4 linked regions of the Pelodiscus sinensis genome follow. The protein of the gene in region 4 interacts with the protein of the main gene of each other region in a pairwise test. Links are inferred from orthologs where the notes say so. Each region holds a gene or a part of one and is shown on either strand. Other genes may lie near its edges. The genes, in order: VTI1B, ADGRG7, MARCHF2 and LDLRAD1.

What was found.
Region 1: the proteins of LDLRAD1 (region 4) and VTI1B interact in binary tests that used the Homo sapiens proteins (3 or more experiments, as listed by UniProt). The two-hybrid records come from large-scale screens. The link is inferred for Pelodiscus sinensis from reciprocal best matches to the Homo sapiens genes LDLRAD1 and VTI1B.
Region 2: the proteins of LDLRAD1 (region 4) and ADGRG7 interact in binary tests that used the Homo sapiens proteins (3 or more experiments, as listed by UniProt). The two-hybrid records come from large-scale screens. The link is inferred for Pelodiscus sinensis from reciprocal best matches to the Homo sapiens genes LDLRAD1 and ADGRG7.
Region 3: the proteins of LDLRAD1 (region 4) and MARCHF2 interact in binary tests that used the Homo sapiens proteins (3 or more experiments, as listed by UniProt). The two-hybrid records come from large-scale screens. The link is inferred for Pelodiscus sinensis from reciprocal best matches to the Homo sapiens genes LDLRAD1 and MARCHF2.

What each region holds. Positions count from the first base shown.
Region 1 is NC_134714.1:72,556,434-72,564,066, reverse strand, and holds the start of VTI1B (vesicle transport through interaction with t-SNAREs homolog 1B), read left to right. Parts: upstream 1-4,491; 5' UTR 4,492-4,736; coding exon 4,737-4,851; intron 4,852-7,633. UniProt on the Homo sapiens protein: V-SNARE that mediates vesicle transport pathways through interactions with t-SNAREs on the target membrane. These interactions are proposed to mediate aspects of the specificity of vesicle trafficking and to promote fusion of the lipid bilayers.
Region 2 is NC_134711.1:150,957,763-150,965,838, forward strand, and holds the start of ADGRG7 (adhesion G-protein coupled receptor G7), read left to right. Parts: upstream 1-4,811; 5' UTR 4,812-4,855; coding exon 4,856-4,967; intron 4,968-8,076. UniProt on the Homo sapiens protein: Orphan receptor.
Region 3 is NC_134729.1:25,339,359-25,347,508, reverse strand, and holds the start of MARCHF2 (E3 ubiquitin-protein ligase MARCHF2), read right to left. Parts: upstream 3,065-8,150; 5' UTR 2,907-3,064; intron 1-2,906. UniProt on the Homo sapiens protein: E3 ubiquitin-protein ligase that may mediate ubiquitination of TFRC and CD86, and promote their subsequent endocytosis and sorting to lysosomes via multivesicular bodies.
Region 4 is NC_134719.1:11,283,760-11,291,989, forward strand, and holds the start of LDLRAD1 (low-density lipoprotein receptor class A domain-containing protein 1), read right to left. Parts: upstream 3,002-8,230; 5' UTR 1-3,001. Other genes in the region: TMEM59 (transmembrane protein 59), read right to left, coding at 6,091-6,246.

The sequences.
Region 1 (7,633 bases), on a different chromosome or scaffold from region 4:
TGTTCCGGAAAAGGGCCAGTGTAGACAGCACAGTAGTCTTTTCTGCAAAAAAGCCCCGATCGCGAAAATAACAATTGGGGCATTTTGTGGAAAAGCGCGTCTACATTGGCATGGACGCTTTTCCGGAAAAAGTGCTTTTCCGGAAAAGCATCCTGCCAATGTAGACGCGCTTTTCCGGAAATACTTAAAACGGAAAAACTGTTCCGTTTTAAGCATTTCCGGAAAAGGGCGCCAGTGTAGATGTAGCCATAGACTTTAAGGTCAGAAGGGACCATTATGATCATCTAGTCTGACCCCCTGCACAGTGCAGGCCACAGAATCTCACCCACCCCTCCTAGAATAATCCTCTCGCCTATATCTCAGATATTGAAGCCTTCAAATACTTTGAAGACCCCAAGATGCAGAGAATCCTCCAGCTGTGATCTGTACCCCATGCTACAGAGGAAGGCGAAAAACCTCCAGGGTCTCTGCCAATCTACCCTGGAGGAAAATTCCTTCCCGGCCCCAAATATGGTGATCAGCTAAACCCTGAGCATGTGGGCAAGACTCACCAGCCAGACACCCAGAAAGTTCTCTATAGTAGTAACTCCTATCATCCCTCCATTGACCTATTTCCTACTGATAATGAATGGTCAATTAGTTACCAAGATCATGTTATCTCATCAAACCATCCCCTTCATAAACCCATCTAGTTTAATCTTGAAACCAGATAGATCTTTTGCCCCCACTACTTCCCTTGGAAGGCCGTTCCAGAACCTCACTCCTCTAATGGTTAGAAACCTTCGTCTAATCTCAAATCTAAACTTCCTACTAGCCAGCTTATATACAGGCAGTCCCCGAGTTACGCGGATCCGACTTTCTGCACTTACGAACGGGGCTTTCTCGCCCCGGAGCTCGCAGGCAGCGGGACCGCCCAGAGCACAGCGGTCCTGCCACCTCGACCTCCGGGGCGAGAAAAGCTGCTCCGGGTGCCTCTGGTCTGCTGGGGACCGTCTCCAGCAGACCAGGGACACCGGGAGCAAAGCCGCAGTGGCGGCGGAGTCCCGCGCCTCCCCAGCTTTGCTCCGGGTGTCCCTGGTCTGCTGGGGACTGTCTCCAGCAGACCAGGGACACCGGGAGCAAAGCCGCGGCGGCGGCGGGGTCCCGCGCCTCTGAGGCTTTGCCAGAGCAAAGCCTCAGAGGCGCGGCACCCCGCCACCACTGCGGCTTTGCTCCCTGTGTCCCTGGTCTGCTGGGGGGGGCGCAGCTAGTGCGCCCCCCCCAGCAGACCAGGCTTTTGTTGTGGACCCTGGGGTAGAGCAGCTGGGGTGCTGCCGGGTTGGTCCTGCAGGGACCTACCTGGCAGCCCAGCTGTTCTGTCCCAGGCTCGAGATTCAGCCGCTGTTGAAACTGATCAGTGGCTGATTCCAGGAAGCTGGGGGCAGAGCAATTCTGCCTCCAGCTTCCTGTAGTTAGCCCCTGGTCAGTTTCGGCAGCAGCGGCTGAATCTGGGGCCAGTTCCGACTTACATAGAAATTCAACTTAAGAACAAACCTATAGTCCCTATCTTGTACGTAACCCGGGGACTGCCTGTACATTTGTTCTTGTATCCACATTGGTATTAAGCTTAAATAATTCCTCTCCCTCCCTGGTATTTATCCCTCTAATATATTTAAAGAGTGCAATCATGTCCCCCCTTCAGCCTTCTTTTGGTTAAGGTAAACAAGCCAAGCTCCGTGAGTCTCCTTTCATAAGACAGGTTTTCCATCCCTCGGATCATCCTAGTGGCCCTTCTTTGTACCTGTTCCAGTTTGAATTCATCCTTCTTAAACATGGGAGACCAGAATTGCACACAGTATTCCAAATGGGGTCTCACCAATGCCTTGTATAATGGCACTAACACCTCCTTATCCCTACTGGAAATACCTCGCCTAATACATCCCAAGACCGTATTAGCCTTTTTCATGGCCATGTCACAATGGCAGCTCATAGTCATCCTATAATCAACCAGGACTCTGAGGTCCTTCTCCTCCTCCGTTACTTCCAACTGATGTGTCCCCAGCTTATAACTAAAATTCTTGTTATTAATCCCTAAATGCATAACCGTACACTTCTCACTATCAAATTTCATCCTATTGCTATCATTCCAATTTACAAGATCATCCAGATCTTCCTGTATGATATCCCGATCCTTTTCTGAATTGGCAGTAGCTCCCAACTTTGTGTCATCTGCAAATTTTATCAGGAGACTTCCACTTTTGGTGCCAAGGTCAGCAATAAAAAGATTAAATAAAATTGGCCCCAAAACTGATCCCTGAGGAACTCCGCTAGTAACCTTCCTCCAACCTGACAGTTCACCTTTCAGTATGACCCACTGTAGTCTCCCCTTTAACCAGTTGCTTATCCACCTCTCAACTTTCATATTAATCCCTATCTTTTCCAATTTAACCAATAATTCCCCATGTGGTACTGTATCAAATGCCTTATTAAAGTCGAGGTAGATTAGATCCACTGCATTTCCTTTATCTAAAAAATCTGTTACTTTCTCAAAGAAGGAGATCAGATTGGTTTGGCACGATCTACCTTTTGTAAAACCATGTTGTAATTTGTCCCAATTGCTATTAGCCTCAATGTCTCTAACTACTTTCTCCTTCAAAATTTTTTCCAAGATCTTGCATGTCAAATTAACAGGCCTATAGTTGCCCGGGTCGCTTTTTTTCCCTTTCTTAAAAATAGGAACTATATTAGCAATTCTCCAGTCAAATGGTACAACCCCTGAGTTTAGAGATTTATTAAAAAATGTTGCTAATGGACTTGCAAGTTCATGTGCCAGTTCCTTTAATATTCTTGGATGAAGATTATCTGGACCCCCCGATTTACTCCCATTAAGCTGTTCAAGTTTGGCTCTAACATCCTAGCATGGCAGATGAGGCCATAACAGGCAATGTGATGGCAAGTATGTGGCTGGAAATTTAAAAAGGTTATTGTGCAGCTGTAAGCTTGGGTTGGTGTGTACTATCTCCAATATCTTGCTAGTGGCAATCTCGCATCTGATATTATTGCTCAGAATTGGGAGCCCTCGGAGTAGAGTTGAACAGAGTGCCAGAGATGATATGCATGGTGGCATATAACTGCATATCCACCTATTTGGTGTGTGACGATTGACTCCATAATGGTGTACAGTACTCCACCACCAAATACAAGGCACTGGCGAGAGCAATGGATACTTTATAATTTCTAACCAGTCCTTCGTCGCTGATCCCACAATTTGCTTGCCTGGTTTTGACTGCCCCATTGTCAGTGATCCCTATTGAATAGGTTCCGGACTGAGCAAGGTCTCTGTGCAGCCAATCATTATCACTGTGGCCTTCGGAAAAGTCCTTTGAGCAGCTGCAGCATAACACAGACAATGAAACATGTTGTCTTTGAATGCCTGGTGGCTAGGTTCAGTGGTGATGTAGAAGAACAGCATCATGCCACTGAAGATGCCATTGCTTGGCTTAGAAGACTATGCACATACTAAATAAATAAATAAATAATCTATGTACTGTATCTGTCTGCTCCGTGGACAGGAGAATTCAGTATCCAGATCTGCCAAGCCAGCACCTGAATTAGGTTCATATACATACAAAGCTACTACTGCTTTGGATGACACAACATAACAAACTCAACATATTGGGTTTCTCCGTGGCTGCTGGTGTGTGCACATTTTGCTCTTGGATGTACTTGTAGGGCAGTACTCTTGTACATTTTCCCTCCCTTGCCTGCACAAAGGGATGGAGTCATAAGTGACTTGTGGTAGCACTTGAACCTCTATGCCCCAGCCAACATTTTAATTGCTAAATGGGGTGCCCACACATGCCCCCTCTCATCCCGGCCTCGAGGTGGCCCTTCCTATACCCCACAGCACAGGAGCCAACGGGCTCACCAGGCCCCTAGGCAAGGCAAGGGGGGAGGACAGCTCCCTCTCCCGTCAATGGCCGGTCCCACAGGCACCCTGCTCTAGCGCCTGTGACAGAAGCCCCCAGGATCAGTGGTAGCAGCTAGGGATCTGAAATCCCATGTAATCAGTGAACCGCCTTAACGGGATGGGGGAAGGGGGCTGGCTGCTCCAGCCGAGCTCGGCTGCCCGTTAACGGCTGACATCCCTAGCAGCAGCGCGCGGCGAGAGGACGCTTCACTGGCACGGTCGGGTTTGCAAACTTAAATTGGGAGGAGGGACCCACCCGAAAATCCCCGCGCTCCCATGTGACCCTCCCCACAGCTGCCCTGCACTGCCTGAGGCGTGTGCCCGGGCCCACAGCGGCGCCGCTGGCGAGAGCGCCCTCACGCGCAGGCGCTGCCAGACTGAACGCATCCGGCAGCTATCGGCGTCCAAGGGGCAATCTTACTGGATGGGAGCAATCCCAGAGACTACACTTCCCGGCATGCCGTGCGCGGCTCGGAGGATGGCGCCTCCCCTTTGGGGTGGCAGCGACTATGCCTGCTCCGTAGAACGGCGCTAGCCCCATTGGCGAGCGGAGATTCGGGCTCCACATGTGGCTCTAGCAAGGCGAGAACCTCGTGGCCAGAGGGCCGCTGCCCGCGGTGCCGAGCGACTGATCATCAGGCGCCATGTGGGCAACCCCCTGGGCGGGACGAGGCACTGGGATGGGGAGGCCCCGACTCGCGTCCCGGAAGTGCCTGTGAGGAGGGGGCGATGAGCCCGGACCCCTAGTAGCAGGCGAGAGGGCCGGGACACGACAGCAGCTGCCGCCATGGCGGGTCGGGGCTCCGGCTCCTCCGAGCATTTCGAGCGGCTGCACGAGATCTTCGGGGGGCTGCACAAGCAGCTGCGAGGCGCCCCGGAGAGACTGCGGGGGAGCGCGGCCGGTGAGGGAGCGCGCGCGCGCGGCCGTTATTGCTTAGGAGCGGGAGACCCCCCCCCCCCGAGTCTGTCTGGCGGGGGGGCGGCGCAGGGTCATTGGCATCCTTATTAGAGGCCAAGAACTGAACGGGACGTGCAAATTGAGGTCTGACCCTTAAGATCAGGCGTCTCAGACTCTGCCCGGGAGCCATTTGTGGCCCGAGTAGTTCCATAATCTGTGCTGCTCCGTGAGTCCCCCATCGCACCCTCTCCCTCAAGCCTCTTCCCCCAAAGGACGCAGCCCTGGTGATTTCCAGTAGAGCTGGTATGTGATGGCAGCAGCCATCGCCTCCCCACACTCACCGCGGCAGAGCAGCACAGCTCTCTGCTCTGCCCGCCACCACCTCTCCGCTTCACCTTGGAGGCAGCAAAAAGGAGTTCCCCAGCCCCAATGAAGGCTGGCTACTATGTAGCTTTGCTTTACTACGACTCCCACTCCTGAGGTGAATGGCGGGGGGGGAGGGGGGGGAATACTGCTGCTGCCAGCTGTAGCCCATCCAGGGCCCTGCAGGCTAATCTGAGTATGGGGGACCATCCTGTCCATAAGGTAGTCCCACTGACATCACTGCACTTACGTTATGTAAATTCTTGTATACTTTGGGCCTTTGGCTTAAGTGTCAGCACAAACATGAAACATATGCAATGTAGGGCTGTTAAAATGCATTTATTTAGGTAAATGTGTAATTGCTGAAATTTTCAGCAATTACACATTTACATGCAAGGTGGGAGGCAGCTCCTTCCCCGCCCCCACTGCTGCCTTGTATCTGAGGCAGCAGAGTGGGGGCAGGTGTCTCCCTGTTTGCACTAGCTCCCATCTGCCAGCAGTTGGGGGGAGGGGAAAGGAGCTGCATGTAACTGTGAAGGTTAACCGATGATCCCAGGCCCATTCCCTTCTGAAACACTAGAATCTTGCTTAAAGTAGGGATGTGAATAGTTAATTAGTAAGCATCAATCTATTGAAATGTTATGGACTCCCTAAACAATATAGCTGTGCCTGCAGCCTGCACGTCCCTTAGCCCAAGCTGCTTTCTGAGCCGCATCCCTCAGCCCGCTCGGGAAGCAATGCAGGCTGAAGGACATGCTGGCTGCAGTAGGCTCTGTACATTTATTTTAATTTCTACTTTAAACTTTCTGCAGACCCCCCTACAGTACTGTTGCAGACCACCAGGGGTCTGCTGACAACAGGTTGGGAACAACTGGGTTAAACATAACATTTAACCAGTTAATTAATTAATTAAACATAAATTTATATCCCTAGCTTAAAGGCCACTATCTAGTCAACTGAATTAATAATGAAGAGTTAAAAGCAGTTTCTAAGTCTTCTAGGCAATTTTTGTAGTTTTACTGCTACGTTTTCTTATTTTTAAATGATTTCCTCTTTCCTGTTGCTGTGGGAGACCACATAATCTACAGAAGATTTCTAAAGTGAAACACTGTGCTGCTGTTAAATGTAAAAAGTAATCCTGGAAAAATGAGCTTTTTTTTCTAATTTTTGAGTTTTACTGTTTGATCTAGCTAGCAGATACTGGTAAGTAGGTGAAATGATTTCTAATGGAAGAATCTCTCTAAAAGTTGATGGTGGCCTTTTAATTCATCTGGTGAATGCTGGTTATATTGGGGGGAAAAGGGAAGTGACCTGACAAAGGAATGTTAGCAATATAAATGAATTTCCTCACAATCAGGAAGCTCCCTTTCTTTTCAGAAGTGTGACACCGAAGTCTACTCAGCTGATATCTATTCTTTGCCAGAAGAGTGAATAAGGCAAAATATTCCTTGTTCTTTGGCACTTGTTAGTCATGTGACCACCAGGATTAATTATAGTAATTCTCTGTACTTAATATGTAAGCATCAAACTCATAAAAACTTTGTTGTTTAGAATCCAGTAGCTCCTATGCTCAGTCTCCTAGGCTGTTGAGAACACAACACTGCAGTGTTCAACTGACAAGTGGCTCCCCATTAAATACTGAGTTGAACTCAAAGTCTGTGTTCTCTTCTTTGAAATTCTCCATAAAATTGTCCCAAGAATTACTTCATGTAGTATGATGATGACCTTCCAAAATGGCAATATTCTACTGGACACAGTATATTATTATCATCAAGAATGGATCACAAATATGGACTTGCTTGATATTGAAACTGACTGCAAAACTCAAGTTACTTACAATCTAGCCTTCCCTCCCAAAACCCCTATAAATCTATCTTTTGCTGCTTTGCTGTATGGAAGAGTGAGAAATGACTCATCACTTTATAATTTTGGGAGGCACTCTGATACCAAAGTGAGGGGAACAAAGAAAGCACTTAAATAGAACACTATCCCACGTTCAAAATTAGAACAGAACAGTAAGCAGGAAGCTGATTTAACTGTATAGTGCAATTTTAAAAGGTAATTTTATGAATAGTGGTCATGGAAGTTTGTCAGTAAAATAGTGTCATTAAAGTTGCATGAAAAACTGAGGGAGGGTCTGAAGAAATGAGTTGCTGCTATTAAGGCTAATCAGTTTAATTGTTGCCAAGCAATTTTTGAAATTCTTATTAAGGATAATTTTCAGTTGTAAATGCTATAAATCATTGCTCAAACCAGGAAAATCCCCAAGAATGATTTCAAAAATAATTTGCAAGAAATTTTGTGGGACTTGAGGAAGGTCCCCATATGGGGTAAGTAAATTTTTTTTAGTGGATGTTTCTTCTGCATCTAGTTAACTGGGAGCAGGTGCATCTTAGTGTTCTGAAAAGTCCCATGAAGCTTTC
Region 2 (8,076 bases), on a different chromosome or scaffold from region 4:
AGTTCGAACTAGGGGGGTAATGTATGCATACCGAACTTGCTAATGAAGCCCGGGATTTGAGTTTCCCGGGCTTCATTAGCATAAAGCCGGCGCCGCCATTTTTAAAAGCCGGCTAGTGCGAACCCCGTGCCGTGCGGCTACACGCGGCACGGACTAGATAGTTCGGATTAGGCTTCTAATCCGAACTATCTAGTCCGTGCCGCGTGTAGCCGCACGGCACGGGGTTCGCACTAGCCGGCTTTTAAAAATGGCGGCGCCGGCTTTATGCTAATGAAGCCCGGGAAATTCAAATCCCGGGCTTCATTAGCAAGTTCGGTATGCATACATTACCCCCCTAGTTCGAACTAGGGGGGTAGTGTAGACATACCCTTTGTGACTAATCCTATCATTTCTTTTATACACAAAATATCTCCTTTTACTAAAAATGGCATTACAAAGAGCCAAAATAAAAATGGATTTTCAAGTGTTCAGGATGTTCAGTAATTTTCCCTCTTAAGTTTTTTTCTCCCCTATCTCATGCTATTTTTACCAAATCTGTCTTGTAGGCAATCTGATTACTCTACATTATAGATGAAAGTGAATCTATACCTTACGTCTCAACAAGTACAAACATTGGCATTAGAAACTGAATCTTAATATCAAGTCTGACTCAAACACTGTAATGGATTAAACCAAAACTCCAGAGCTGAATACATCTGCATCCCAAACCTTGAAATGTTCATAATCCAGATCTGAATCTTTTCTCTCAGGCCTATCTCTACTCTAAAGTTAGTAACCTGCTGGCTGCTCATGGTTCATAGTGAGTAGTTTTTAACACATAGGGCTTGATACTGCTAAGAGGTGAGAAATCTCAAAATCCACTGACTTATATGAAGTAATGGGTTGTGCTCACAAAAGCCCGTGATACTATTTATATATCTTTTTGTTCATCTCTAAGGTGCTACAGGATCACTTGTTTTTGAAGTTTTTTTCAAGTTACATAATAGCACGGCTACCCCTCTGTAACTAAAGGAGAGAATGATAAACTTTATTTCACTGTTGCTTCTGTTCCCTTTTCCCAGAAATATTACAGTACAATACCTGCCTTGAAATCATAAAAAAATAAGAGACTAACTTCAATACATACACAACTCTTTGATGCCGTGATGTAAATGTCTGTAATTTGGAGAAATGTGATTTGGTAAAAACAGATGCTAAAGCCTCAAGTTTTAAGACTGCTTGAATTTCTGTACAAATGTTGGGTATTAAAATGATAAAATACAAGAAAAAGCAAAGGGAAAATTGTAATATATTTATAATATCTATAATATAAAAGATTCAGACATATTCTCAAACTGCCTAGTATTGTTATACATTAGTATGATAAAAATCAACCAATATCTTTAGGAATAACCTTTTTTTTTAATGCAGAAAGCTTCACCTGGTGTCTTGATTGGTTATGTTTTGAACACTGCTATATATTAACAAAGAAGTAGGACCTTTGATACTCCCTTACCAATAATTTGTTTGAATTCAAAGAAGGGTTGGAAGACTGCCAGGTTTGCAAACATACCATTTTAAAAAGGTAGTGCTCTAATTAAACCTTAAGTTATTGTTAAATATTGGTGCCTTTTTTTTTTAAAGAAAATGTAATAGTTTATAACAAACAAGATGTGTCTAATTTTATTTAAATAAAACTGATTTATTCATTGCTGAAGTCCATAATCTCTTCACTAGAAAGACTTGAATGTGTAAGGGTATGTGTGTGTATGTGTGTGTTTTTACACCTCTAGTACCCTGAAAAAACAGTTGACTGAGTGGTAACTTCCTGAATGGCAGTCATGCTTTGATTTCCTGCACTTTCCTTGCCATTTACAGGAATGAAAGAAGGCATTTTTGAGGCAGTGCCACTGAGTCTGTACAAAGCACAAATCCCCAAGAGTCAAACACCGTGTTGGAGGGGAATGGCAGGCTATATGTGCACCTTTCCTGCTCATCCCATAGGATCATAGAACTGGAAGGGACCTTGAGAGATCATCAATTCCAGTCCCCTGCCCTCATGACAGGACCAAGTACTGTCTAGATCATCCCTGACAGGTGTTTGTCTAACCTGTTCTTAAATATCTCCAGTGATAGAGATTCCACAAACCCCACCACTGGCAATTTATTCCGGTGATTAACCACCCCGACAGGAAGTTTTTTGTAGTGTCCAAACTAAACCTCCCATGCTGCAATTTAAGCTCATCGCTTCTTGTCCTAATAGCCAAGGAGAACAATTTTTTCTCCCTCCTCCTTGTAACACCTTTTTAAATATTTTCAGATACTTGAAAACTGCTATCCTGTCCCCTCTCTGTATTCTCTTTTCTAAACTAAACAAGCCCAATTCTTTCACTTTTCCCTCATAGGTCATGTTTTTTAGACCTATAATCATTTTTGTTGCTCTTCTCTGGACCCTCTCCAATTTTACCACATCTTTCTTGGAATGTGGTGCCCAGAACGCGACACAATACTCCAACTGACGCCAATCAGCGCAGAGTAGAGCAGAAGAATGACTTCTCGCGGTTTGCTCACAACCCTCCTGTTAATGCATCCCAGAATCATGTTTGCTTTTTCATCGTGCAGTCAGTCAGCAAGGCCATGCATGCTGAAGGCCTTGTGTCACATGCTGGAACTGAGGATTCCTTTGCTGCTCTGCTTCCAAGTGCAACGGGGCCATTTCTCTTGGTATTAGCATCAAATACTAAAAATGAATGAACATTAAAGAAATACAAAAGAGAACACATTCCAAATGAATTGATGTGATGGTGCCCTTCGCTGGCAGAAAAGAGGTTGGAGGCAGCCGATCAAAAGAGAGCTGAAGAGAGCAGCCAATCGGTGCCAAAGGAAGTCAGTTCTCCCTGAGAGCTTAAGGAGGAAGGACTATATTTCTGGAGGGCTGAGAGAAATGCCAGCACCTTGAACGGTGCAGTCCCCCCAGCATGGACTGAGGGAGCAAGAGACAGCTCCTGGCTGGCTGGTGAGGTGTGCAGGCTAAGGACCTGACTCAAGGCAAAGAGGGAGCTGAAGCCAGGTGGGAGGTGGCCCTGGAGGAAGGGAGTGCAGTTGGCCACTGAAGTAAGTGGTGAGAAGGTGAACTGCAGGCCCCTTGGATGCGGAGAGCACAGTGTGTGGCACTGCCAAAGGGCTGCATTGCTGAAGAGGATGTCGCAGCCCTTGGAGAGATATGACTCCTGGAACAGACATAAAGGAGGTGTGGTGAGGCACCACCTGAAGAGAGCACACTACTGTGCAGGGCTAATTGCCATGGCAACTAGCAGGAGGTGCCAGAGTGGCATGTGAATCTTGTTATAATTGGTTAAAAGGGATGAAGCCAATGCTCAGACCTCTATCTGCCCACATCATATATTACACATTGATGAGTATGAAAGAATTGCACGTGAGATTGATGAAAAATACCAGCAAGAATTCTTGAAGCTCTAGAAACAGTCTTCAGTGAATCAGAAAAGGTACCATACCTGTTATCTAGGAAAAAAGTGAACGTAGTGCCCATCTTCAAGAAAAAGGTGACTGGGAAACTGATGGCCAATTGGCCTCAGTGTCTTGTTCAACCTACCTGCATGAAAGGCCCCATGCAAGAGTATATGGGTAGGCGTTTTCTGTGCAGCTTTTGGCTCTAGATCTACAATGTTATCACTCATAAATCAACTCCTTTAAGATAAGTAGTGGAGGCTGCTAGAGATTAGGAATACGTGCAATGGATAAGGATAGGTAGCATTCTGCGCCCTCTAAAAGTTACAGATTCTGTTGAAAGAAAATGGAAACTGTCCTAGAAGTTAGCAGGCCAAGTAACTGTAGTGACTGAGGAAAGTATTTCTCTAAAGCTTCACACTCTGTTTGTTCACAATACTGCAGGGGTTGCACAGCAGTGTTGTGAAGCCCCAGAGTGTTATCTAATATATCTTTCACCTCAACATGCAAAATTGGGGCTTCTTTAGAAACCAGAGACTTGGTGTTGGACCATTTAACCTTTACACAGTGCTTACTGGATGCTCAAATCTGATAGAGCTGCCCATTCTAGGGGTTTCCCCCCCCCACACACACACACTGTGTGTTTGCAGACCCTCTGATAGGAAGGAGGGCAGTACTTTGTGGGGCAGGGGAGAGGGGTCACAAGAAGCCTCAGACTTGGCCAAAAATGTAGACATTAAAAAATGAGCTAGGTATCAAGACCTGAAATTTAAACACTTAATTGAAGCTGCTGCTACCCATTTATGATGGACCATTCACTCTTTGAGACCATTTATAGCACAGTAGAAGGGGAAATCCATCAGTCCCTGGAAAAATCCCTTTGGATGGGCTGCCTTTCCCTACTCCCTGACCTCCTGAGGTAGGACAATTGGAGCAGCTTCATATATTGAGTGGCTTCTTCCTCCCTCAATGCATGGAACAGGCAGAGTTCCTTCTACAGAGACTCCTCATTTGGCTCTAGGTCTAACTCATTCATGCAGATCAGGGACTTGGAGAGAAAGGGGGTCTGAGAGCGATGGCTGAGGTAATATATTTTATTGGACCAACTTCTATTGGTGAGAGAGACAAGTTTTTGAGCTTACACAGAGCTCTTCTTCTTTTCCCAGACCAGAAGGAGAATTCTGTGGAAGCTTGAAAGCATGTCTCTCTCTCCAACAGAAGTTGGTCTAATAAATGATAATCCTTCATCCATTTTGCCTCTGGTTTTGCCTCTCAATATTTCCTTAAATGGAACAGAAAGGGTTACATTTCTAGCCTTGACGATGAGAAAAGTAGTTAATAGTTTATCCATCACAAGGAAGTGAATTAAAAATATATTATAGTTGAGCATGCTTAGGGCATACACAAAATGCCTTCCTTTCACTGGGACAGCAGAGCGTTGATTGTGATTATTTTTGGGACAGTGACCGTAGTGCTTTGGATACTATGCATTTGGCAACTTGTTCTCAGGTTTAAATCAGGTAATACAAATATCTGTTTTATCCAGTTCACAAAATGATGTAATGAATACTGACTGAGTTCTTAGTGCCATTAGCTTCTTGAGCAGGAATGTCTCTTCTCACCATCGTTTGCAGTGTTATTGTAGCTGTGTTGGTCTTAGCAGGATTTTAAGGATGCAATACTTAAGGATTTTAAGGAGAGGCAATACTTTAATCGCTACGATGGTTATATTTTCTATTTTGGCTGAGACAGTCCCCTTTTTTAGCCATGTCCTGATCATTCTGACTTTTTTGGCAACAGTGGGCTTTTGTCCGGTTTGCTTTTGCCATCTGATCAAATGCCAACTTTTGTCAAAAAGTGGGGTGCAGTGTAGAGGAATGAGTGTTTGTGTGTGTGTGTGTGGGAGGAGAATGAGCAGTGATGCCAGTCCCTCATGAAGTGCCAAGATTCATGATGAGGAGGGAGATGAGTAGACAGGGTTTCAGCAACCCAGCCTCATGGAGAGGGTCAAGTGGCTTGAACCAGCCCCATGCTGAGGTGGGGAGAGCTCATACCAGCTCTGGGCTATGTCTCATTTTTCCTTTGGGAAATATGGTCCTACTATTGATTGTAGCAGTTCTCAATTGGGAGGTGCGAGGCCTGCTAGGAGTCCATGAGCAGGTGTCAGGATTTTCAGAGGGGTAGCCGTGTTAGTCTGTAACTGGAAAAACTTAAAAAAACAAGGAATAGTCTTGCAGCACCTTAGGGTGTGTCTAGACTACATGGCTCTGTCGCCAGAGTCATGTAGATTAGTTTACTAGACATATACAAATGAAGCGGCGATTTAAACAATCGCCGCTTCATTTAAAGTAAAATGGCTGCCGCACTGAGCCGATCAGCTGTTTGTTGGCTCAGCGCACTAGTCTGGACGCTCCGCAGTCGACATCAAAGGCATTTGTCAACCGCCCCGTTATGCCTCGTGGGATGAGGTTTACCGGAGCGGTCGACAAATGCCTTTGATGTCGACCGTGGAGCGTCCAGACTAGTGCGCTGAGCCGACAAACAGCTGATCGGCTCAGCGCGGCAGCCATTTTAATTTAAATGAAGCGGCGATTATTTAAATCGCCGCTTCATTTGGGTATGTCTAGTAAACTAATCTACCCAGAGCCATGTAGTCTAGACATACCCTTAGAGACTAACAAAAAATGTAGATGGTACCATAAACTTTTGTGGGCACAATCCGCTTCTTCAGATGAATGGAGTTTAAGGGGTCCAGTTTTCAAATAAATAACACAGAGAGGGGATGTGGAGGGGAGAAGAGGAGGAAAAAGGGGAAAGAAATTGTCAACATGTCCATGCTAAATGAAGCTGATAAGAATACTTAGTACCCACTCTAAGTACCTTTTTTTTTTTTTTGTCATTAGGATGTGGAATGTAGCGGGCCATCCAGCCAACGTTTTTGTTTAGATTTCTGTTGTAGGAATCAAACTTTTAAATGAAATTAAGCTTCCCTGTCAAGCTGGCTTTTAAAATTGTTTTGAAATAATACGGTGACTTTGAGATCCATTAATGAGTGCTGAGGCAAGTTAAAATGTTCCCGAATAGTTTTTGTGTGTTCCCTTTTTCAGATGTCTGATTTATGTCCATTAATTTTTTCTTGTAGAGACGGTTCAGTTTGGCCAATATACATGGCCAAGAGGCATTGCTGGCACTTGATGGCATAGATCACATTAGTGGATGTGCAGTTGTATGAGCTTCTGATGTGGTGGTTTACGTGGTTAGGTCCTGTGATAATATTGCCTGTATAGATGTAAGGACAGGGTTGGCCCCGGGGTTGATTGCAGGGGTTGGCTCCTGGATCAGTATGATAGAAGTGTGCTGCGTGAGGTTACAGCGTTGTCTGTAAGTGAGGATTGGCCTGTCCCCCAAGGCCTGTGAGAGGGAGGGTATGTCTACACTACAAAGTTGATTTGAACTAACAGCCGTTAGTTTGAATTAACTTTAATAGGGGCTACACATGCACATCGCTAGTTTGAACTTAATTGGAACTGGCGGCGTGCTTAATTCGAACTAGGTAAACCTCATTCTGCGAGGACTAACGCCTAGTTCGAATTAAGTAGTTTGAATAAAGGGCTGTGTAGCCACTTAATTCGAACTAGTGGGAGGCTAGCCCTTCCCAGCTTGCCCTGGTGGCCACTCTGGCCACAACCAGGGTAACTCTTCTGCCCCCCTCCTGGCCCTGGAGCCCTTAAAGGGGCACGGTCTGGCTACGGTGCCCGTGCCAGGTGCAAGCCTGCCAGCACCCAGCCAGCAGACCCTGCACCTGGCAGGGCACAAGCCAGCCACCCGCTGCCACCCAACCCTCCGGAGCCTGCCTGGGTCCGCGAGAGGCGGGCACCCGCCTGGTCTAGTGCGGAGATCGTGGACTTCATCCAGGTTTGGGGGGAGGCCTCCATCGTCCACGACCTCCGCACTTGGCACAGGAAAGCAGCCATCTAGGGCAGGATAGCTGCCAGCCTGGCCACCAAAGGCCACATGCGAACCCAGGAGCAGGTTTGCATGAAAATCAAGTTGGTCCAGTGAGACCCCCGACCCTGAGCCCTGAGCTTACAACATAAGAACATAAGAATGGCCGTACTGGGTCAGACCAAAGGTCCATCTAGCCCAGTAGCCTGTCTGCCGACTGTGGCCAACACCAGCTGCCCCGGAGGGGATGGACCGAAAACAATGACCAAGCCATTTGTCTCATGCCATCCATCTCCAGCCTTCCACAAACAGAGGCCAGGGACACCGTTCCTACCCTCTGGCTAATAGCACTCCATAGACCCAACATCCATGACTTTATCTAACTTCTTTTTAAACTCTGTAAGGGTATGTCTACACTACAATGTTAGTTCAAACTAACATTCATAGGCGCTACACTAGCGCTCCTCTAGTTCGAATTTAAATCGAACTAGCGGAGCGCTTAGTTCGAACTAGGTAAACCTCATTTTACGAGGATTAAGCCGAGTTCGAACTTACTAGTTCGAATTAAGGGGTGTGTTGCCCCTTAATTCGAACTAGTGGGAGGTTAGCCCTCCCCAGGTTTCCCTGGTGGCCACTCTGGCCAACACCAGCGAAACTCTATTGCCCCCCTCCCGGCCCCGGACT
Region 3 (8,150 bases), on a different chromosome or scaffold from region 4:
GTGGTTCCCAACTTGTGGTCTGCAGACCCCTGGTGGTCTGCGACAGTACTCCGGGGGTCCATGGAAAGTTTAAAACTAAGGATCGGGCCCACTGTAGTGTCTCTTCACTACATAGCTCTACAGAGGGGAGGGCTCCAAGACATTTTAACAGATTGAAAAGGGGTCCATATGCTCGAAAGGTTGGGAATCACTGAGGAAGTGGGTCTGGCCCACAAAAGCTCATCACCTAATAAACCATCTTGTTAGTCTTTAAAGTGCTACATAGTCCTGTTTTTGCTTGGTCTACACTATGGACCTTATAGTGCAACAGATGCAGCTGTGAAGGTCTCCTGTGTAGACATGCTATGGTGGTGGGAGAGAGGCATCCTTCCAGCATAAACCACACTACCCCAAACAAGCCACAATAGCTATGTTGGCTCCTGCTGACATAGTACTGTCCTCATCGGCTCTTTTGTTCATGAAACTTATGTCGGTTGGAGGGATGTTTTTTCACACCCCTAACAAAAAGTTTTGCCAACAAAAGGGTTAGTGTAGATAAAATCTTAATTCCATCATTCAGGGGTGCAGATTTTGAAGGACATGGTAACAGGATCTGACAGAAGAGAGTGCAGTATCCATCCTGCCTCCGTTGAATGAACTCAGTGTCTGTGTCACACACACACACCCACCCACCCACCCTTCTGAAACAGATCCTTGCCCTCTCCATGTAGGGAAAGCCAGTCAACAACAATGAAGCCATACAATAGAAATTAAAACCCTGTCAGAGAATGAAATAGTCCATAAGGTCTTACAAAGTCAATTTTCTTGGTACTAATACACACTTTCCACTAGTGCCCTGTCTCCAACCTTCCCCATTTAGCCATGCTCACATGGACTCTCCACAATCTGGTTTCAATCCATGGTGTGACACAGAGACAAGCTCTAACGCAGTGTTAGGCAACTTGCAGCCTGTTGGCCACATGCAGCCCACTACGACTCCACCTGCGGACTCTGGTCAAACCCCTTCCCCTTTGCGCTTCTCACACACTGGGGCACCAGAGCCACACACTTCCTAGTCCTCTCCTTCTCCCCCAGCACTTTCGGAGCATCATGAATTCACTGAGTCATGCTCCATCCCATCCCCGCTCCTTCCACTGTCTCCCAGAGCTGGAACTCCAGGTGCCCCAGTGCACAAGAGGCACGTGGGGGACGTGGCAGACAGGCAATCTGCAGATGGAACACCAGTGGGCTGCAGGATGCCCACTGAGATGAAGGAGGGCATCCCATGCAGCCCACTCCCTATTCTTGGTTGCCTAAAAGCTAGTCAACAAACTCTATGGCAACTAAAAGAACAAGCCACGGCACAGATGCCACCCAGTCTCTGCAGTGTTCCAGGCAGTCAATGACAAGATGCTGCTGACCCTACAAGAGTGGATGGCACAGCATTGTCATGTCTGCAATAATTTCTTCCAAACTGGCTCCAGAGTGTTAGGGATGGGGAGCAGCTAGAGCATTCACATGCACATGTCTGCAGTAATCAGTGCTGCCCGCCTTCCTAATATGAGAGCTCATGGATAAGGAGCAAGATAACACAGCCTTAACTGCCAACAACAGAAGACTACCTGGCCTTCTACTCCACTTAGGAAGGGACAGTCAGTTTCACACATACAGAATGAGAAGCAGCTGTCTAGGAAGGAGTACTGCAGAAAGGGATCATAGTGGACCACAAGCTAAATAGGAGTCAGCGGTGACACTGTTGCAAAAAAAGCAAACTGATTATAGGATGCATAAACAGGAGTGTTATGAGCAAGACAGGAGAAGTCATTCTTGCACTTTTCTCGCACTGATTAGGTCTCAATTGAAGTATTGTGTCCAGTTCTGGGCACCACATTTCAAGAAAGATGTGGAGAAATTACAGACGGTTCAGAGAAGAGCAACAAGAATGATTAAAGGTCTAGAGAACACGTGCTATGAGGGAAGGCTAAAGGATTTGGGCTTGTTTTGATTGGAAAACAGACAACAGACAGGACATGATAGTGGTTTTCAGGTATCTAAAAGTGTGTCATGGGGTGGGGGAATTGTTCTCCTTGGCCTCCAATGATAGGACAAGAAGCAATGGGCTTTAACTGCAGCAAAGGAGGTTTAGGCTGGACATTAGGAAAAGCATCCTAATTGTCACAGTGATTAAACACTGGAATAAATTGCCTAGGGAGGTTGTGGAATCCCCATCACTGGAAATATTTAAGAGCAGGGTAGACAGACATCTATCCGGAAGAATCTCAGCGGTGCTTGGTCCTTCCGTGAGGGCAGGGGACTGGACTTGATGACCTCTCACGGTCCCTTCCAGTTCTAGTGTTGTATGATTTTTGTGTCTCCTCAGCAAGTGTAACTGACTCGAGACTCGGGATATAAAATCCCATTTCATTGGTTAACTGGTTAAATGTGATGTTTAACCAGTTAACCAAATAAGGAAATGCAGGAAGTGACCTGATGGGCAATAACTACAGCTGGAAAGTAAAAAGTTAAACACTCTAACAGGCAGATGGGAATTCCAAAGTCATTGGGCAACCAGACAGACTGACAGCCTTGTAGCCTCAGGGCAATGCTGATACAACCAACTCTTGTCCCTTGTCCCCAGAGAATCTGCCTCAGCCTAGGGGAGCTCAGGGCAGCAAGTGTTTAGCTTAGATACCAACTTAGATACCCGAAGCGACCCCTCCCCACCAATCCCAGCTCCCTTCCCTCCCCCGTCCCCTGACTCCTGAGCTTCCCCCCAATCCTGGTCACTCCTCCTGCTCCCCCAACTCCCCGCAGCGACCCCTCCCCCCAGTCCCAGCTCCCCCCTCCCTTCACAGACCCCTCCCCCCAGTCCCAGCTCCCCCCTCCCCGCACAGACTCCTCCCCTCCGCTCCCACGACCCCCCTCACCGTCCCTGGCGCGCCCGGGGCTGCCGGTGCCGATGCCCTGGGCCGAGGCTCAGCGGGGCCTGGGCCGCCCCATCCCCGGCTCCTGCGGCCGCCGGGCGCCGCCTACTGCTGCCTCCTCCTCCCGCCCGCTGTCACGGCGGCCGGAACAGCGCACGCGGATAGCCCCGCCTACGCTCCCGGCAGCCACTCAGCGCACGGGACTACACAGAACGACGGCTCTCTCGCCCAATCGCCTGCCGCAACCGACTGCAGACGTCATGGCATGGTCCGATGGACAGAGCCACGGGCCTGCAGGCGGGCGAGGAAGCCGACAGGGCAAGGCCGGCTCCGCGCAGGGAATGAAGGCGGCAGGGCGAGAGCCGGGGGCGGGGCCTGAACCCTGCCCCACCTAGCCCCTCCCCAGCAGCAGCCACCTACCCTGGCCCCGCCCCTTCTCCGAGGCCCCGCCCCTCACTCTATTCCCCCCCACCCGCACCTGCCCCAGCCTGGGTCAGGGGGAGGGGGAGGAGCAGGCTCCTCAGGATTTCACCCAAGCAGACCAGAGGGGCCTGCCCCTGGGGAGCCGGGACTGAGCCCCCTCGCCCGTGGGCTCCAGCCAGACTCCTGCGGCCGGGGGGGGGGCTCTGGGAAGGGGGTTGTACAATGGCCCAGCAAAGCTCTGTCAGCACCGAGCCAAAACGGGGCCAGGGAGGCGGCTCTTGGGGGCGGTACCTTCGGAGGAGGGGCTCTGGCTCCTCGCACAGGAGGATCCCGCCCTGGAAAGAATCGGACGGGTGCTAGAGGTCGCTGGTAGTGGGTAGAGGCCTGGCAGAGCTACAGCTGCACCGAGCGCTGCTGGAGATCTGACGTGATTGTCTCTGAGCTTGAAGCATTGATGTTTCAAAGACAGTACCAGGGATGTCAAGGCATAGTCAACTTACACGATTAACTGATACGCCTAGGTTTATTGCTTAATCTTGTTGACTACATGCATTCCCCCCATCCCCCGCCAGCTTGCTGCCTCTATCAGAGGCAGCAGCACAGAGTAGTAGGCAGCCGATATGCATGGGGAGCCAGTTTTGAAACTGGCTCCCGTCACGGACTGGCTCCAACCTACTACCCTGCACTGCTTCCTCTGATAGAGGGACTGCAGCACACAGTGTCCGGGGACTCCCCAGGAGTGGGAGTGCACTGGCGGCCATCCCCAGCCCTGGGGACTGTCAAATGTTAGTGGTTACATGACTATGTCATACAGTTATACAACTATTCAATTACATGTTATCTAACATGCCTACCAGGGAGGGAACCAAGTGCCAGTCTGAGTGGCCTTTGGTTTTAGATACATCTTGCCAAGAGGCATGAGATGCCTGTGAGAAAGGAGCTTCTTGATGCTGCTTAGCTGACAGTTTCTCAGGTGGTACCAAACCTTTGGTACTGGCATGAACCGGAGTCACAGTTGGACCCATTATCTGACGTTTCCCAAGGGTTGATTCAATTAGATGACCTATCCCTCTTTCTAGATTCTCTAGTAGAGAAGATGGGCTTCTTCCTAGAGATAGAAGTCAGGAGATTAGTGTACCATCTGTACACCATCAGATAACATGAGCAGTGAATTATTAGCTTTCCAGTGATATATGCCCCAAAGTAGGGATGTTAGCTAGCAGGTAATTGAATAGTTGTGTAACCACATGAAATCTTAGTTACATGACTAGTCGATAGTCCCTGGGGGCATGGCCAGCAGCCAGAGCACTCCTGACCCCACACCCAGGGAGCCCCCTACCACTTAGTGCTGCTGCCTCTATGTCAGAGGCAGCAGCATGGGGTAGCAAGGGGAACCAGTCCATGAGGGGAGCCAGTTTAAAAACCAGCTCCCTGCACAGACCAGCTGCCTAATGCCCCACACAGTTGCCTCTGACACAGAGGCAGCAGGACAGCAGCAGCCTGTTTGGGCTGGGGGGGGGGGTCCAAGATCCCCACAGACAGCAGCAGCCTCTGTTTGTGGGGCAATCGGGCCCAGCAGGGACAGAGACTGTTTTGCAACAGCCTCCCCTGCCCCTTCCCCCACTGCTACCTCTGATAGAGGCAGCAGCACGAGGTGGGGGGCAGGCAGCACCATGGACCTGGTGCTGAGGGAAACCAGCTTTTAGCCAGCTCCCTCCCCCTTGCTACCTCTGATATAGCCTAGGGCTTATCCATTGATTATATAGTCGACAATAGTGTCTGGCTGGTGAGTCTTGCCCACATGCTCAGGGTTTAGCTGATCGCCATATTTGGGGTTGGGAAGGAATTTTCCTCCAGAGTAGATTGGCAGAGACCCTAGAGGTTTTTTTTTTTTGCCTTCCTCTGTAGCATTGGGCACAGATCACAGCTGGAGGATTCTCTGCATCTTGGGGCCTTCAAAGTATTTGAAGGCTTCAATATCTGAGACATAGGTGAGAGGATTATTTTAAGAGGGGTGGGTGAGATTCTGTGGCCTGCACTATGCAGGGAGTCAGACTAGATGATCATAATGGTCCCTTCTGACCTTAAAGTCTATGAGCATGACAACTGTGTGCCAATTGGCATTGGGATGCTCTTCAGACCACAGCAGCAGGGAACATAATTGCTCTCTCTCAGCCACAGGCAGTCAAAAAGAATTGGAGGAGCAGAAGGGTCACACTTCTTATATGTTCTCACATGCGTGCTTTGGAGGATAGGGTTAAAATTCAAAACCATCTAGAGTAAGTTGAGAAATAGGGTGAAGTAAGATGAAACGCAGTAAGAACAAATGCAAATACTCCATTTAGAAAGAACAAATCAGTAGCACGCATGCAAAATGGGAAATGATGGCCTATGGAAAAGTACTGCAGAAAGGGATCTGGGGGTCAGGGTGGACTACAAGTTAAGTATGACTCAACCATGTGACACTGGCTACATCGAGACTTCACTGGGAAATCGGTACGCAAGAGGCTTTTCTGAAATTTGGCATGTCTACACTGTGAAAAGTTTTGGAAAACAATGCTCTTTCAACATCCCTAATTCCTTGTAAAACAAGGTTTACAGGGATGGTGAAAGTGTGTCAGCTTTCTTGAAAAAAAATAAATTCTGGTATCCCAGAAAAGCAATGCAGTCTAGATGTAGCCATTGCTGCTTAAAAAATGTCTGGGATATATTAGCAGGAATGTTGTATGTAAGACACCAGTAGTAATTCTTCCACTCTACTCTGCACTGATACTGTATCTAGTTCTAGGCTATGTCTAGATAAATTGCGTATCTTTTTCCAATTTGCTTCTGAAAGAGGCTTTTCTCGAACACCTGCTCTGCAGAGATGAAGTACAGGGCCAGAGGGACCCCCTGACTTCAGTGCTCCCGCTCCCACTCCCCTCCGCACAGTTAGCAGGAGAATCCTGGGAGCAGGACAGAGCACAGTGAGGGAGGGGCAGATGACCACATGCTGCCCGGCTGTAAGTCTGCATCTCTGCTAATCCGCTGGGCCGACTAGATCCAGCCCCAGGCCTGATTTTGCCCACCCCAGCTGTAAAGAGAAGGGGTCGATGCAACATTTGCTCAAGGAACAGCATTAGTCCTTCACAGCTGTGTATTGCACGTCCATTAGCTCAGTATCTCATACTAGTAAGATCTCCTCCCCAAATGGTCACATCACTGGCAAAGTCAGCAGAGGAGCTGCTAGCCTCACTTTTGGTAGTTCAGTTCTGTTACCTCCCCAGGTCCAAAAGCAACAGATTCCCCATATTATTCTAAGACTATTTAGAACAAAATAATTCACACACAATTTGGTTTGGCAATCTTTATATCCACAATACATAATAACCATGCACAAAAATCAAGTGATGCATAAATCTATTTACAAAGTGAATTGCACTTAACTGAATACAGGAATCATGAGTTTAAAAAAAAAAGTGAAAGGAACCACTTCTCAGTTGCATAAAGGTCCAGGGCTACAGCCCACAGAGCCTGTCCAGTAACACGACCAAAAGAGAAATGCAAATGGCAGCAACGAAGCAGCCTAGAAGCTCACAACACTTGTCTGGAAATACCCCACTGTCCATTCTGAGCTATAAAATCCTACACCACAGCCCTGGCAAGGGTCTGTTCTTGAAGCTATGAGACTTCAAGCTCTACTGGATTACGTCACTTTAGAGCTAAGGACAAATTTCAGCCTTCAGTCCAAATTGCCTGGCTTTTGTGTTTTTAAAAAGAGCAGGCCTCTAATTAGGGTAGGTTCCTTCCTTGCTAGGAAGGGGGAAAGGCATCAGTAGATGATTATGAAACACCTTATTAGATCTGTGCTTCCTCAGAGATAAAGATGTCTGAAGTACCTGTTCTTCCTTTAGTCTCCACTCTGGAACACACCACAGGGCAGAGATGGACTCACTTTCACACCACTTATAGCTCAAGGTGGTGCCAATGTTTTGCACACACAAGGCTAGCACATCAAGCTCTGAGGACTCATTGGTCCAATAGAGAAGCAGGTTTTCAAACAAACCAATTGGCTTCTTTCAATGAGTGACCTGTTCAAATAGCAAAAGCACAGACCACTCCTCAAAATCAAGACTGCATTTCCCAGTTGAAAGAGCAGTTGCCTTGGAGTGTGAAGATACCTCTTGATTCATATGTATGTCCCACAATCTTTTTTTTTTTAAATTGACAAATATACTAACTCTCTTCACCACACGCTGGGAGGTCTGTAGAGGCACCAAGTATAGTCAGCTCCCCCAAAATACCTCTGATGAGTGCAGGGCGGGGAAATCATATCCCTTTCACCTCTACCAAGTTTTGGCAGACAGAGTCCATTTAACAGATTACACCAGACTGTCCTTTGTGGAGTTTCCAACAACAAAATTTGAGTGATTTAAACTTTGCACTGGACCTGACTTTCCTTCTTTGCTCATCAGAGATGAACTCCATAAAAAGACAGGTTGAGAGCTCCTTTCATTGAACTCAGACATCTAGGTAGTTACTGTGACTTCCCCATGTGTGACAGAAAAGAATGTAAAATTGAACAATAAGAAACCCTACTCCCAATAGACAAGGCCAATTTAATGAGGTTCCACTATGAACAGTTCAGTAACAAACACCAGTGTTGGTCAATTTTGGTCTTTTGTCTCCTCTCCAAAACAGCTTCAATAGATGGTGATTAGCTAGTTATTTAATTAGTAAAATGTGCTGCTAATATGGCCCAATCCAGGGCAGAAATAAGTTTCAAGTCAGTAAGGAACTTCAAATGGGAACACCAGCTCATTACACTAAATGGTGAAAGATCTT
Region 4 (8,230 bases):
TGTAGATGTTGACGGCAGGACATAGCAAACCAGCTGAACAGGGATTTTTTTTGCCTCTCCCCCTTGTCTTTCTAGTTTGTGTGTGCACTTTGAAAACAAACCCAAGAACTGACAGCAGGGTAGAAAAAAAAGCACCAGCTAATTTAAACCTAATATTCAAAACAGCAGCACCTTTTTCTGTGTGTCTTCCTTGTGCCTCTCATTTTAACTCCACTGCTATGTGGTTCAGGCTCTCTTTCACTGCTGGCAGCTGTGAGTCCAATTGACCAGCTAATGGGTGCACGTATCAAAAAGGGCAGATACTGCTTCCCTGTAGCCTGCATGTACTCTCCCAGCTTCACTGGTACCAGCACATCTTCACAGAGAAGGCACTGGGTTAGGAAAGAGAGCCTGTGCCTCTTCCTCCCCTAACTGTGCAAGAAAAAGGCACATGTGTTTGTTCTACTCTAGCATAGGACATTGGCTTGGTCTAAAGTATTATGCTAGGCTCATCTTAGCATCTGCTCCTCCACAGGAGGCAAACTAGTTCTTGGCAAGGCGCATACTTCCCTTCCTCCAAAATCCAACTTTGGACTATGGGAGTAGCTCATCATACTTCACCTGTGGGGGAAGGGAAACTGATTAGGAAATGGGGTGACAGGAGGACTGCAGATGGAAATTGGGCTGGAATTCTAGAGATAAGGGGGTAAATAAGAGGGGATAACAGCAGCTCAGAGGATAGATCAGAGCTTTTCCTAGCAATGCAGGTATATTGTGTGAATCCTAGGTAAAACAGTGAGCATACACCACCACCTAAGAACAGCACAGTGCACTGCTGCAATTCAACTGTCCCATATACTATTTCACTAGCAAATGAGCAGAACAGAGCTTACTGAGCACAGCAGCCTCTGGCAGAAGCAGAATTAACTTTCCAGACATGCTGCAATGCCAGTCACCTTCCTGGAAATCAGACAGGTGAAAGGACAAGGAGACAGCTAGATAGCGAGCTAGCCTTACAACTGTGATTTAGAGATGGGCATATACACAGCTATTTCAATGGGAAAGTTAAATGAAGTTGATTTGTTATAGCAACCAGGGCATAGGCTGGTTTTCTGAAGCACAGTGAAATAACTAAAGGAACCATCCTCACAGACACTAAAGCAGAATCAGTTGCTGGGCCTCTATTTCTGGAGAGATTAGGAGTGAAAAGGAAACATTTCAAACTAGGGCAGGGGACTGGACTTGATATCTCAAGGTCCCTTCCAGCTCTAGTATTCTACCATGTATCAGTTTCCACATAACAGGCAAAGGGTAGCCCAAGGTGACTTAGTTAAGTTGGAATTTTCAGCCCATCACACATCTTAAATCAGCCTTTGTCTAAGACTGACAATCCTCTAATAAGCAGATGGTATGAGTTTTGCCCACAAAAGCTCATGATACCACCTACATGTTTTGTTAGTCTTTAAGATGCTACTAGACTATTCATTGTTTTAAGTCTTTTTAGTTACAGACTCAGCTACCCCTCTGAATCCTTTAATAGTTTAAGATTCCCCTCCTCCCGTTTCAATAGCATGATACTGTTCAAGTGTAACAGACTAGTTCCTGCCTCTGCAAGATTCCAAGTTTAGATGACTGCCTAGCACAACATATTCTGGGGGTGTGGGAAGCACTGAACACAAAACATACCAGTGCCCTAGAAGTTTGTTAAAAATGCTCCGTTCAAATGGCCCAAAAAAACAAAACAAAACAAAAAAAAGATCCAGCAGCTTAAGGAACTCTAATATCCTCTGTTAGGGCTGCTGTTTAAGAAGACTACTGGGTTGAAAAAAAATATAAAGTTACAACTGGTTTGGCAGATGTTAAAATATTCCAAGTTTAGACCAAAAAATAGCAGGTTAAGTTGATGTCCTAGGAATTTCAATTGGATGTTCTGGTGACAGGGATGTTGAGTATAATTGCCTTTGATCACTGCATCTGCAGTATTTACAGCTGGTATTGAGGAAAGTAAGACCATGAGAATGTGCCTCTACAAATAGGTGCCTCCCACTTGGCTCTTTTAAAAAGAGTTAAAATGGGATTTTACTTAAATTCTTACATCACACGTGACAGCACAGCACATACCCACGAATGCTAGTGATTCAACATCCTTTTTCAGGGATCATTCTGAATAATTGGAATGATCCTTACTCCAGCATGATCCCCCTCAGGAGCCACATAGAGCTAACTAATCCTTGTAAATCCATATTCTGATGCTAAGCCTGAGAACCAGCCAGGACATTTCATCTTTGTCTATCATTAAGAAATCAGAGACCAGCAAACACTTTGCTCTAGAGTAGAAGGTAAGAACCAAGATGAGAGATGAAGTGTTAAGACAACTACAGCTCAATCAGAAACTGCCTTTGCCCCTCAGTTTCTGTATCTGTGAAGTAAAGTTTGTGAGCTTTGTAAGGGGAGATGCAAGCATGTGAACTTCCACCACTGCCAGTTAGTAGGAATTACCAGAGTCCTAGGTATCTATGGTGCAGTGGCCATAGCTTAGTTATTTTACTACTAGTTTTTTGTAACTGAAATCATGTATAGCTGATTTAGCCACCGATACAGCAGGGTTCTTGTTTCTATGCTTAGGAATCCGAGTTCTCAAAGTAAGAGGAGAGATGCACAATTATATGGGTGGGGGAAGAGGAGGAAGTATTTGGTCCCTCATCTACAATTGCTTGGGCAATTTAATTTTCCATCTTTGAGAAGAGCCCAAAACCCAGTTACTGTATACAGTACTTCAAGAGTCTGAGTATTTGAAAATAAGTTGAATAGAAATTGTTTTGCCATCTTAACTAGCATATAGGATCTAGGTTTGCTCCCATAGTAGTTAAACAATATCTTAGTGCCAAGATGAGTGAATCGGTCTAATTCCAGCAGTTCTTACTGTAGTAACAACTAATTATCAGAATCAAATGTGGTAATGGGAAAAACCTGGATACAAAAGATGTACAATAGCGTAGAAGTCAGGTCCTTTAAGCTATATAAATTTGTTTATAGAAATTAATACCTCAAGAATCTCATTGCAGGAATGCAGGTCCCCCTCCACCTCCCGCCGATACTGCTTATAGGAGTTACTGAGTCCTAGACTTTATTCCTAGTATAGTAACGTTTCAAGTAACAATGCCCAAGATTTGAACCTTTGTTTATTCTTTTCCTTCCTTTCATTTCTGGTTTCCAGAAGTTTAAGTAGATATTACAGCTCAATATTAAAAAACTAGAAACTGTTAATTAACCCAATTATTTAAAAATTTAAACATTTGAAAACAGCCACCTTTAGAAAAACGAAATGAGAAGAACAGTTTTACATGCATGAGTTAAAATTGAAGTCATTGACAATTAGAGCTATACATTGTACTGAAACAGGCAACTGGACAATTATACTTTCAGTGAAGCGATAAACATTTACACATCATAGGGGAAAAAACAGATTCAAAGAACATTTACAATGCCGGTTATAAAGATTTGGGATAACTAAAGTGTTATTGAAACTGTCCTGCAGACAAAGGTAGTGCAAAGAATACCAGCAATGGCCACTGGTATGAAGTCTGTATTTGCATCTTAAGCTATCATTGCTCAAGGTGCATTGAATATTAGTACATCAGCATTCTGCATTTAACAAGGCTGTGTACTTAAGTACATGACTGCATAGAAATGAGTCTTGGGACAATTGCTACTACAATACAGAAAAAAAGCTAATTTTTAAAGCACTACACAAACAACTTTCACATTGAGATCCTTGCAAAAACCTAAATATTTAGAGATGTTAAGAAGAGCATTGCACTCCAACTTTCATAGTTAAGTCAGATCCTCTTTCAATGCCACATCAACCAAAAGTTACATAGTAATTGGGCAAACATTCAATGTTTGTATTTTAACACAGTAGACACCCCTCAACTTATACCTTAATGACAAAAAAATGTAAGGTGCACATGATTTTAAAGAACAGATTTATAGCAGCTCTGTGTATGCTTAACACACAATTGCAAGCACCACAGTGTATGTGGTACGCACTTCAAGTATGGACCCATAATGCATAAGCTATATAGTCCTCAAAATTTGCCCATTCGGCAACCATCTTCGCCTCCCACTCAACCAAAACTTTAATTAAAACCAGAACAGCAAGTTATGTAATGAGTTACTCTGGAACGTCTCAAATACAATTTTTGCTAGTGTACAAAAAGCTATGCAAAAACCAGTATCTATTGCTTACTTCTAACCTGAATGTAGATATAATCAGACATTTTAAAAAAAGCGCTAATAACTCTGGCCAAAATAAGATATTTAGGCCAGTTTCTAAATTTTTGCAAAGGGGTTTTAAGGAAAACCATCACAGCGCCTTCTTCAAGATATCTAGCAGGCACAAGATTATAGCTGCTATAGGAAAGAACAAACCTGTGTTGAACAGGTTAGCTAGAATAATCATCTCAAGTTTTTTACTGATTGTAAAAACAAATTGTCTGTACAGGATAAACTTAACACAAATAGTCTTTAAAGTGCTACCAGACTAACAAAACATGTAGATGGTATCGAGCTTTCGTGGGCACAGCCACAAAAGCTCATGATACCATTTACATGTTTTGTTAGTAAAATAACGTTTACAATTCAGAAGCTTCAGGGGGTAGCAGAGTTAGTCTGGCAGCACTTTAAAGACTAACGTAGCAGAATGAGGTCAAGTTACATATGCAGTAAAAGCTATGCTATCCAGCACTTTTATAGCACTTTCTGGCTGGTAAAGTTACATTTCTGGTCTTCAGTAAAAGTTTGGTTTCTAGTCTGGTTGGCACAGGACCACCAGGCTCCCTGGAAGCAGGGACACATCCCTGCTGCTCCTGAACAGAGGAGCTGCCATGGAAGTTGTGCACTGACCCTGCAGCTTTCATTGATGAGGAACCATGGCCAATGGGAGCTGTGGAGACAGTGCTGTGGCCAGAAGAGCTTGCAGAGCCACCTAGCTGCATCTCTACCAAGGAGAGGCAAGGACATTTTGCTGCTGGTGGGGAGCTGCCCGAGGTGAGCACCATCTGGAGCCAGCACCCTGAAACTCCTTCCTGGAGTCTGAACACTGCACCCTCTCCTGCACAGTGAAGCCCTCAGCCCTAACCTGGAGTCCCTCCTCCTGCACACTGGCCCAACCACCTCCTACACCCCAGCCCTTGCCCCAGTTTAGTTAACCAGAATGTTTCATTAACCAGCAGCCCCTCATCCCCATTCCTTCAATGTACCAGATTAATCTTTTACTGTATTAGAGGGATGCTGTAGATGAATCTCATACTGAATGTATAATGGTTAACTGCAAGCCATAGCAAAAGGCTACATTTATTCTGTTTTCAGTAATTAATTTGTTTGACAATGGAACAACTGGACCCAACTGGTTAACTAAAGGGAAGTCTTTGGAAAGAGTATAATCTAACCTAAGAAGTTCTTGAAGAGTTGAAGGCTAAAGTTTGTCAAAAGAATAAATATGCACGTCACATTGTGTGTGTAAGATAAAAAGGTCCTTAAAATTTGCATTTGACAGTGAGAGCTCAGTCTGCAATACCTCATTAATGCTCTGCATATTGACAACAGTAAAAAAAAATTTATTTTAAGGAAAAAGGTTTAAGGTTTTTGCAAAGACATTAACAGATAATACAAAATTACTGCCAATAGTTTTCCTACTAATGTTCTTATTCACAACCAAAAATGCCCAGCCTAAGCATCTTCTGCCCACTTATTTATACCATACTTTTACAGAGCTAATTCTGCTCTTACATCATAGAAAAATTAGAAGTGACTGATTGAATGTGCCATGGTACAAGTGTAGAGAGCATGCTTAGTTTTTGGTAAGCAAAAAGGACACATTGCCAACTCTAGTAAAAGCAGTTACATATGTTTGGGAGAAGTCTACAAATTAAAGATGTTTTCCTCTAGTAGTGAAAAGAATTGATTCCATGAGAGACTGATTTGATTCTGTAACTTTATTTGCATTTAACACTGACCATTAAGCCCTGCATTTAAAGAAACCCTAAAAAACCCCACCAGGAATTGATAGAACTGCTAGAATTAGCCTATTAAATTCTTTTTAAAAAGTATTTAAATAGTTGAATGAGCCAGATTAACTTTTGTAGGTAGAGCTCCTGCTTCTTCATGTTCATCAGTCTTGCAACGAACAACAAGAAGAGCAGAAGATGGGTATCTGGTCAGATTTTGTTCATTCATGTACTCCAAGTCTCCATAGATGCTCAGCTTCTGAAATAATTAAACTTGTTTTAAAGAGATATTACAGATTCTGAATGCACAATCGAGACATGCTCAGCCATAAGAACACAGACTGGACACAGTGGGTCAGACTAACAGTCAAGCTACCCCATTCATCTAGTTTTCAGCCATGGCCAATGCCAGGTGTTTCACAGGAAAGAAACATAACTTGTAATCAAGTGATCCATTCCTTGTTACCTATTCGTATCTGCCAGCATATAACTATGATCACACACTTCTCAGTGAGGTTTTGCAGCTGAAGCACTGCTTGAATATTATAACACACTATTTCCCAGGACATCTAAAATTCATGTTAACAGCAGAATTTGAGTCTAAGCCTAAGACTAACATGTTCTGGTCAGAATGAGTGGTACTCATATGCCAGCTTCAGCTCCTAAAAAGTATCAGTCTTGCTTTTTTTGGAGGAAGGTGAGTGGAGGATGTCAGTTCAGCCAGGCCTTTCCCCCCATAAGATTCCTACCACTCACCACATCACATTCATAGGCTCCTGCCATTCTCAGCCTTTTCATCATCCTTACTGCCCTATGTCTCACTCTGCTCCCACAAAAGAGAACTAGAAACAGCTTCCAGTTGTCAAGCATGTTACCATAGGGAAGAGGGTTTCTAACCCGAGAGAAAGACAGAGGCCCACAACAAAATTAGGAGGAATGTTACTCAGACTAAAAAATGCAAAATGTGAACTCTACAACACGAGGATTCCAATTTTGTGGGCACATACAAATTGAGTAGATGACACATCCACTACATCTTTAAATAAGTGTTATTTACAAAATGGTAGCAGAGCAGGAAGTGCTGGAGGTGCCTGCCTTTCAACCTTTAGCCCTGTGATCAGAGTATTCAGCTGGGCTGGGGTTGATCTGGGTTTAATTCCTTTGTCTGATAGGAAGCAAAGATTTGAACTTGAGTCTCCCACATGGAAAGACAGCCCTAAGCCAGTGAGACTCAATCAGTGGCCCTCTGGCCAAGTGTGGCACACTAGACAGTGCTTAGTTTGTAGTGAAGATGCCAGCATTCAGGCTTGGCAAAAATTAAGCATTGGCTGGGTGGCCAGAGCATGGTGGCTGCTGTCTGGGTGCCCAGCTCTGAAAACTGAAGGCAGTGCTCACACCGAGCTGGTGCCCAGCCAGCAGCCACTGCTGTCCAGCCACTTAACCAGTGCTTAATTTGCACCAGGCCTGAATTCCAGAACCTCTCTCATTACAAAGCAAGTACTACTAATAACTCTGATTAACAACTTTAATTAAAGAAAAGGTAGAAACACTAATACTTATGTCACAATCAAGGTCTTTATTGACAGTTATTACTCTATACTATCTGTATCATTGTCAGCCTTCTGTGCAAATGGTCTACTTATAAAATTCTCTAACTGGTCCATAGGTAAATCTAATCAAGTATCACTGCCCTAGTAAGTACTGGGATATGGGAGGGTACTCTATATCACATCTCAGTCTTTCTTGCTGATGTTGTTCCACTGCATGTAAACACTGCAATTAAATAATTATTGGAATAAGAACATGAACTTGGGCCTCCCCACAGAGGGGGAAGCCCTAGCTGTGTCACTGCAGTCATTTCCCTATCTGTGTCACTTACACATAGTGGAACAGCTTCAACAAGTATATGAATAGTCATTAAGCTAAAGTGTTAAAATGGACTACAGCCTCATGATTATGGGCACTCACTTTGGGAAACACACATTTAGGTCTTTGGTCCAGTTACTTTAGTTTAACTTTGGAAGATTAAGACCTGCCCCAAGTGCCATCCCATAGTCCAGTGAAGAGGGTGCCATTTGAGAGGCCAAAGAACAAATCCCAACTTCACAGCAGGCAGAGGGGATCACCCACATCCAATGAACTGCTTTATCTACTAGGCTAAAGGTCAGAAGGGAGGGACACCCCTCCCCACCTTGAACTTCTCCAGCCAGTCTATTTTAGGCTTTACATTTTCTTGTGTCTTT